Linked DNA regions of Tribolium castaneum. The protein of the gene in region 1 binds, or shares a complex with, the protein of each later gene. Links are inferred from orthologs where the notes say so. Each region holds a gene or a part of one and is shown on either strand. Other genes may lie near its edges.

Region 1 (4,031 bases):
GGAAATGGCAAAATTTACACTTTTATGAATTTTGTTTCAATTTCTGCCCTTTCAGAGCGTTTTGATAGGATATTTAGGGACGAAATCTCTACCTTTGTTATGTGTTATTGTCAGATAGAGACAAAATTTCAGAAAGTAGTGTTAGGGTTATTAGGCTCCCTTCTGAAGTGTCAAATTGTAACTTTAATGGATTTTGTGTGCTTTTCTGCACTTTTAGAGCGTTATTAATTATTGTTGAATATGTTTAAGGGCAGACAAATCTACCTTGAGTCAACGACATAAACTTCAGTGAGATTTATTGAAAAATGAACTTCTCCTGTCAACCTTTTCATGAAAAAGGGTGTTTAATCGTTTATAAAGGGCGTGTTAACGTCTGTTGTTAAGTTTACCATATAATAAAACATAAAGTACAACTTTTCTATAAAAGCATTTTGCAAAATTCTTATTTATTATTTTCACTGTTTTCCTCCTTTTATGTGTGCAAACGAGCCGGTGATGTGAAAATTAGTGGTATCGCCACAAATTGTGTTAATTTTAAGTCTCCAGAAAATTCGGTTTTAAAAGTAGGGTTATGTTATCAACAGGAAACGTTAAAAATTTCACTTTTATGCATTTTGTGCTCTTTTAGAGCGTTATTAATTATTATTAAATGTGTTTAAGGGCAGATAAATCTACCTTGAGTCAACGACATAAACTTTAGTGCGATTTATTGAAATGTATATAGGGCAAAAATGAACTTTTCGTGTTAAACATTTTCAAGAAAAGGATGTTTAATCGTTCATAAAGGGCGTATTCACGTGTGTTAAGTTTACCAGGTAATAAAACATAAACTACAACAACTTTTCTATAAAAGCATTTTGCAAAATTCTTATTCATTATTTTTACTATTTTCCTCATTTCCTGTAATAACTGATTCGCCCTTCGGGGACCATTCTGAATACTGTTTCCACCCTTTTTTCAAAAAGTATCCTTATATTTAATTGTTATGTATACACTCACAACTTCTTTTTTGCTTTACTTTGGGACACTGTTAAGAGCTACCACCAGAAACAGCTTCCAAAGCATTCGAAAAAAACAGTCGAAGGGCTTAATCTACGGCAGAAATAAAGAAAATTGCAAGATATAAAGTAGGTGAAAAAAAAAGTTTGCGCGCAGCGATTGTCTGGTCGACTGTAATGTTCATGGTGTCAGCACCATTTTTGGTGCTGTCTTTACCGACATGTAATCGCATTGGTAGACCTGTCATTTGACGTTTAAACCTGACAGTTGATTTTTTCATGACATGAGTTGTCAAAGTAGTGGTTTTATCACCTGATACAGATGTGTCTCAAATAATTGTGTCCCCCAAAATGAAGAAATACAAAACGGGGTAGTCCCCCGGGTCTTATGAGTGACATGACGCCAGCTGTTGAGCAGTGGTCCTTATACTCCGCTGCTCAAAACCTCCCGGCCGTCCTAAACGACCCCAATCGCGGCAAACAGTCGAATTTCTTCGTCAAGACATGGGGCGACACATTCGTCGAGAAGACCCAAATCGAGAAAAGCCCCTTCCTGCCCGAAATAACCTACTCGCACTTCGATGGCTACGTTCGCAAGATCGGCAAACGGTACAAGCGGCACATTCGGCTCTCCCAGAGCAAGCTCGAGGCGAATCATGTGAAAACTCGAACGAAGGCGGACCTCATCAACGGCGAGGTTAGCGTCGAATCAATCCCCGAGATTTTCCTGCGGCAGCATTTCCCTCTGAACGATCCCGCAGTGTTCGCGCAAGTTTTCCACGGAAACGACCGGGACCAGGACTACGTCCTGCAGGAGGAGTTGAGTCATTACTTGGACATCGTCGAGGTGCAAATTGCCAAGCAGGTGTCGCAAAAGTCGGGGGCTTTTTTCCACGCCATGACCTCGCACGACACCATCATGGAGCAGATGGGAGTTGCCCACACGGAGGTGCAAACCTTGCGCTCGAAAGTGCAAAAGGTGGACAAAACCCTCGCGAAGGACTCCCTCAAGCTCGTAGGCCTGGCCAGGGCCAAGGCCAACCACGGCAAGCTCGTCGACAAGCTCAAGTTAATGGCAACTGTTTTACAAACACAGCCCACTCTCCAGCTCCTCCTGAGCTCGTCGGATTACGTCGCAGCCCTCGAACTTATTTCGAGCACCCAGGAGGTGCTGTCGAAGGAGCTGGCTGGGGTTACTAGTCTGCGGCACTTGCCCTCGCAGCTTAAAGAAATGTCGAAGTTGATTGATAAGATGTTGAGTACGGAGTTTGAGAGATACGCTGCCGCCGATTTGCACCGGCCTTTGGAGGCGGAAGGTGGGGTTTTGGAGCAGGAGAGGTTGGTTAGTTTGGTCGCGGGGCTGTTGCGACAGAACAATTTGCAATTTTTGGAGACGTATAAGCAGGAGGCTGTCACTGCGGCTCAGACTTTACTCAAACAGTTGCTGATTGAACAGTTGGCGGATGTTGAGGATGATATGGAGATGACGGGGTCGGGGGAGGTGGCCCCCAGTATGGACGCCGCGCATTGGTTGAGGGTGCTGACGCTGGCAAGTGAAGCGCTGGGTGGGTAAAAGATTGATGTATTATTACAATTCGAGAGAAAAATACGTAACTACAAAATAATCTGTATCCAAAATTTAGTGTAGCGGAGTGACAGTGATTTCATAATTTTAATTAGTAGTTTTAATTAATTTAAGTAGTTCACTAACTGCTTGGGAAAAACACATCAAGACTTTTATTTTAATAAGCTGAGAAAAACTGACGTCTAAAATTTTCACGACAAAGATGATGAGGAAAAATAATTATGTTATATTTTATTTTTTTTAATGTTGTTCAATTGTACTTAAGTTGTGTATCATAATTTTGGACTGAGGGAGTGTTAAAAATCTATATTAACTTGCGTTTTGTCGTACATTTTTAAAAATGCTATGAATATGCTTAAAGATGCAAAAACAACGTGCAAAAGAAAGTTGTGGTGAATAAAATTTTCTACAAAAGGTACGACCACATTTTTTCTTTGACAGCTATTTAGGCCCCAAAGACGTTCAAAACCGCCTAAACGACGGATAAACCTTGACGGTTGCACATACTTTTTTTGAAGTAGCTAAATTTAGTTCTCGAGTACTTTGTCATTTTTACTGAACAATTACATATTTCAATAAATTTCGTTAAAAGTAATCTGGTAATTGCCGTATTTAGATGAAAATTTTGTTTCTTTTCTTTTTGTTAACGTTTAAGCTCTTGCTTGATTGTGTGATATTTGCTTTTATCGAGCGTCCAAAAGTTTATGCACGTTTTCAAACTTAATTTAATTTTTTTGCAGTAGATCCATAATTATTAATTAATCAAGCTAAAAATCCACTAAATTGGTTAAGGATCGAAAATTACTGAATTTAACTTTTTTGAGTTTTATTATCACGTTTCCACCCAGAAAGGCAATAATTTCACTAGATTTTCGTCACAGATAAGCCGAAAAATCGTCGAATTGGGTCGAAAATTCTGTTATTTTTGTTATTTTTTTCAGGTACTAATTTTTTCATGAAATTTTGCTTAAACTTTTCTTCAATAAAGCCTCGAATTGTGTCGAAACTTGTGTTATATTTGCTTTTATCGAGTGCTTAAACACGTTTTTGGTCACAAACTCAGTTTTTTCGTGAGGTTTTTTAAGTTATTACTAAATTGGGTCAAAAATATTAGATACTTGTACATACGTGAGCCAGAAACGCAATTATTTATGAAGATTTTGTCAAAAGTAAACCATAAAATTTCCAGAATACTTCAAAAATAGAGCAATTTTTTATTTTCTAAATAATCATGAAATTAAGTCTAAAATTAGCATTTCTAGCCCATGCTCATCCAGAAACTCAGTTATTTAGCAAAATTTCATCAAAAATTAACTGAAAAATCATCAAATTATTTTGAAAATATACAATTTTTTGCATTTGTCGAGCGTCTAAAATAGTCAGATCAACGCTCTGTTTTCTTAACATGTATTTTGAACCGAAAAATCATTAAATTGGGTCGAAAATAA
Region 2 (4,557 bases), about 370 kb from region 1:
ACAAAACACACCACATCACGTGTTCGAGTATACATTTCCGCCAATTTACAACATTTAAAACAAATCACGTTTTATGTTTTAAATTGATGCCAATCACTATCCTTTGTGATAAGTGATGAGATAACACAAAATGGCTTTACATAATCCAACCTTCTACAATTTATCTACAATATTGGATGATACTGCAATGTTTTGGGTAAAAAACATAATATTTGTTTTGGAACAAAAGTGAGGTCACTGGCAAGACCATAACTATTTATTTCTAATACCTAATTAACTGTGATTAAATTCATTAACTTAAAAAATAATGAAACGATTAGAGATATTGTTGGCCACCCATTAGGCCATTAATTTTAGCTCAAGTGATAAATTTAAAAACCACGTGCTCCCTGATCAGGGCAGAGATCCAAAACACAGTTGGGTATTCAAGAATTACGACCAGACTTTCAGACTCCACTAGGCCCCTATTTCTTGTGCATTTTGCATTAATTTACAAATTCAAAATTGGTTGGTAACAGAGTTGCCAACAGAAACAGTTATTTCGGACCACTCCGTATAAAAACTATAAACGGTCTTTTTGTGGTAAAAGGCCGGGTGCCAAAACACAATTTTATTATTTTCTGGGCTAAATATGGGAATATGACTCAATAAAACATTGGAAAACGCTGATGACACCTACCTTAGTAGAACTGAGGCGGTCTCCGGTACCCTGAAGACCTGTGGGAGCAATAAATTGGGTTGCGTTTTGGTAATAAAAAGTGAAAATTGGCGTTACCTTCCATCCCATATTTTCGAAAAACGTGCTCAGCCTGGCTTGACCGGTCGTTTTTCCGCCACATGGTCCTGTACAAACCCAAAATAATCTCGTGGAGGATCACATGGTCGACTTACCTCCTGTTAGGACAACTCTGTAACAGGTTTTATCGTTGCCACTGGTCGTTTTATCCATATTTCCGGTGTTTTGACGAAACTTAGTTTTTCCAATTGAATTTTGCTAGTATTCGAGAAGGTGATTTTGTTGTGAAAGGTGAAGAATGAAAATCAAAATTTGTAAGCACTAAAAGAAATAAACCGGGTACATGATCAAATTTTACTGTATATTGATTTCATGATTTGTTATTTCGCGAAAGCGACAAAGGCTGACACGCGACACCGCACAGACGCGGGACTAAAGAAATGTGAGCGAATTTGAGTCTTAAATAAACATCGTCGCTGATAAAATTACATTTTGGGGAGGGAGTTTCGCCGCAGAGGGGTGGCCACACTGGAATCAATACACGTGGTTCCCGTGGCGCAAACTTCGAATCCCTCGCCCATTTACGCAAAAAAACGACGCATCCTAAGCACAATAACGCCAACACAATAATAATCAATCACTTTGTATCGAATTTTATTGTAAATGAGAATTTTTACTGATTTATGAACTGTTTCGAGCTTGTGCACACTCTGCCACTAGCACACCTGATCATCTGTTTTGACGTTTTGGTGACAACAATACAAAAAATGTTTTTTGAGTTCTTTTTCAATTAAGTGTTCAAAAACCCAAAAATGGCGGAGAAAAAGCCCAGCCCCTTGGACCTGAACAGTCCCAGCTTCAACCCCAACATGTATTTGGATAAATTATTCAAAGTAACAATAGCCCCTTTTTCACCCTTGAACTGACACCCTCTTGCAGGAGTCCAACTTGAAGCAAATAATGGACCACGAGAGCGAAATCGTCAAAGACACACAAACCTTGCATTCCGACATGCAAACCCTAGTTTACGAAAATTATAACAAATTTATTTCGGCTACAGACACCATAAAAAAGGTATTGGTGCGTTTTTCTTTCCGAAAAGTGAATTAGTGCCGTAGATGAAAGTCGATTTCAAAAAAATGGAAAACGAAATGGACCTCCTCGCCTCAAACATGTCGTCAATTACGTCGTTTTCCGACCAAATTAACTCGACTCTTCAGGACACAAGGAGCCAAATTAGTAAATTGTCGGGGGTGCACACGCTTTTGCAGCGCCTCCAGTTTTTATTCAAACTGCCAACAAGCTTGAAAACTCGAATGGAGGAAAAGCGATACATTGAGGCGGTTCAGGACTATTTGCACGCCCAGCGTGTCTTGGAACAGTACGGTAACTTGCCATCCTTGCAAGGCATCAAAACCGACTGTGAAACCATCCTTATTGAGCTCAAAAAAGAACTGAGGAAGCACTTCAGTAACCCTCAAGCCTCGGCCAAGGAACTGACCGAAAGTGTGGATTTGCTCCTGCAACTGAACGAGCCGGCCAAAGAGTTGTGTTCTGAATTTTTGATTTGTGCCGAAAAACGTCTCAGTGACCAACTAGTCATGCTGAAGGACCAAAGCGAGCAACGGGACATTTCCGAATTTATTGATTTGGGTTGTTCGGGATTTTTGAGCGATTTGTGTCTGGTTGTGGCTTCCTTTGACGACATGTTTATCAATCGCAACAATTTGGATAATATCGAAAATAGTGATATTTTCGAAAATTTTGCTGCAACTGAACTCAACAACTTTGTTAAACAAAACATGGCGAAGTATTTCGATTTGGTGCAAAATAAAGTCGATTTGGAGCAGGATGTTGGAGATACGGCTGTTTTAGTTCAAGCCTTGGACCGGTTTTATAAAAGGATTGAAAGTAACACACTGTGCAGGGATGTGGATTTTTCGGCGTAAGTGGATAATCGTTTTAATTATTTTTTTGTTGGTAATTTTAAGTCTTCTTTTTAATATCTGAATTCTAGATTATAAACACTATTTTAAAACACGTTTGCCATAGCAACGTGTTTTGAATAAAAATGTCTTAACAAAAAAAAATTAATAACATTTATACGAAAACGCTGAAAGTTCTCGGGTGTCTAGGTATACACTCGCATACACTCGTTGCATAACGAAATTTAAGCTTGTGTTTTCGCACTCGTATTATTAATAACTATTTTTTTATGTTTTTGAATACAGTACAAACTCGTTTTTAGTCATTTTAATTTTTAACCAATCAAAACAATACTACAAAGTGATTTTAAATGACTTCTATTTAATTAATTTTATGGAAGTTCATTTATAAGTTAGTATAATACATCACTTCATTACCTAAAATTATTTTCAAATCTACAGCGGTCTTGAGAAATCAATTAGGTACAATATAAACATTTTTTTTATGAAATATTTTTTATTTTACTGAACGTAGCTTTCAATATTGGTATTTTTCTATAGACTTTTACTGTAGATTCCGCTTAGTTTTTGAAATGTAATCTAATTTTTTTTTGTGAAAAGTACTACACAAAAAGTAAAAATACGAGCCCTAACAACTAAGGGCCGGTTTATAAAAAGCTTTGTTAAAAGTTAATTCGTCGCTAAAAGTTAACAACGCGAATGGACCAATTAAATTTGTTCAATTTGGTCACGTGATCAGTTAATCACGCATTTAATTGCAGATTAACTTAATGACGTTTCTATAAACCGACCCTAAATGTTTGAAAGAATACATTTTTGTAAAGGAAATGCATGTCAAGCTACTGAATGTTTAAATTTAAAAAGGCATATTTTTAACGAATCTGTAACAGAATTCAGGCGTTTTATTGTTCCAAATATGTTCTGTTTTGTTTTTTAAATCTTTCAATTACCACTAAGAAAGATTTCTAGGATAACTTATCATTTTGTGCCAAAAAGACACAATGATATTGAAATCAGGGCTAATAGCTGGTCAAGGCATAACATTAATGTAAGAATTACCAAATTATTAATTCAAAAGTTTTGTGGTGTGACAAGAAGCACCTTTTTTTTTAAATAAACATACCTTCGGGAACGTAATAATTTTTTTTAGAATCCCATGAAATTGAAGGTCAAATAATAATACAAAACTGGATAGTCATATGTTAAATTTTTTAGCTCCTTACATTGCCAAGCGAAGTGGGAAAATTTCATCGTTTAATTTTTTTTTCTAATAACTTATTTTCTAATAACAAAGTTCAGAAAACACTTTAGTATTTAGTATTTAGTGAATTTCATAAGTTTGAATCCATACAAATTATAAATAGTATTGTTGTAATAAAACCAGTTTGATAATAAATAAATAAAATGAATAAAAATAAAATAAAACTAAATAAAAATAAAACAAGATTTCGTCCAAACATTTAGTTATTAGGGCTCGTACTACAGAAATCAGGTTTTCACATTTTTAAAGAAAGTTCAAACTTAAAGCTGTACTACTTGTACACATAGTGCAATTAAGAACTTAAAAAATTACTGTAATAAGAAATAATAGTTGATTTTTTTAATATCTTTTTTGTAAACACTTATTAAATGTTTATGTTATTTATTAGAAAGACAATTTGAAAGTATTTTACGAGCAAAAATAAGTAATACGGCGTTTCCTTTAAGAATTTTAAGTTATTTAAACTTTTAAAACTTTAAACTTTTAAACTTAAAAGAGAGTTCTTCATGTTTTTATCATCTCAGCTGTAACTCTCCAAAAAATATTAAAGCACTAAGGTTCATACCTTCCTCTTTTAAGCTGAATCAGTTTCATTTGTTTAGATTTCTTAGTTT

The links.
Region 2: scat (region 1) and Vps51 share a complex: the UniProt entries of both Homo sapiens proteins name them as parts of the golgi-associated retrograde protein (GARP) complex. The link is inferred for Tribolium castaneum from reciprocal best matches to the Homo sapiens genes VPS54 and VPS51.

What each region holds. Positions count from the first base shown.
Region 1 is NC_087395.1:16,817,203-16,821,233, reverse strand, and holds the start of scat (vacuolar protein sorting-associated protein 54), read left to right. Parts: upstream 1-1,231; 5' UTR 1,232-1,386; coding exon 1,387-2,563; intron 2,564-4,031. UniProt on the Homo sapiens protein: Acts as a component of the GARP complex that is involved in retrograde transport from early and late endosomes to the trans-Golgi network (TGN).
Region 2 is NC_087395.1:17,182,710-17,187,266, forward strand, and holds the start of Vps51 (vacuolar protein sorting-associated protein 51 homolog), read left to right. Parts: upstream 1-1,443; 5' UTR 1,444-1,548; coding exon 1,549-1,629; intron 1,630-1,675; coding exon 1,676-1,810; intron 1,811-1,854; coding exon 1,855-2,681; intron 2,682-4,557. Other genes in the region: Ttd14 (TRPL translocation defect protein 14), read right to left, coding at 680-717, 776-843, 892-949. UniProt on the Homo sapiens protein: Acts as a component of the GARP complex that is involved in retrograde transport from early and late endosomes to the trans-Golgi network (TGN).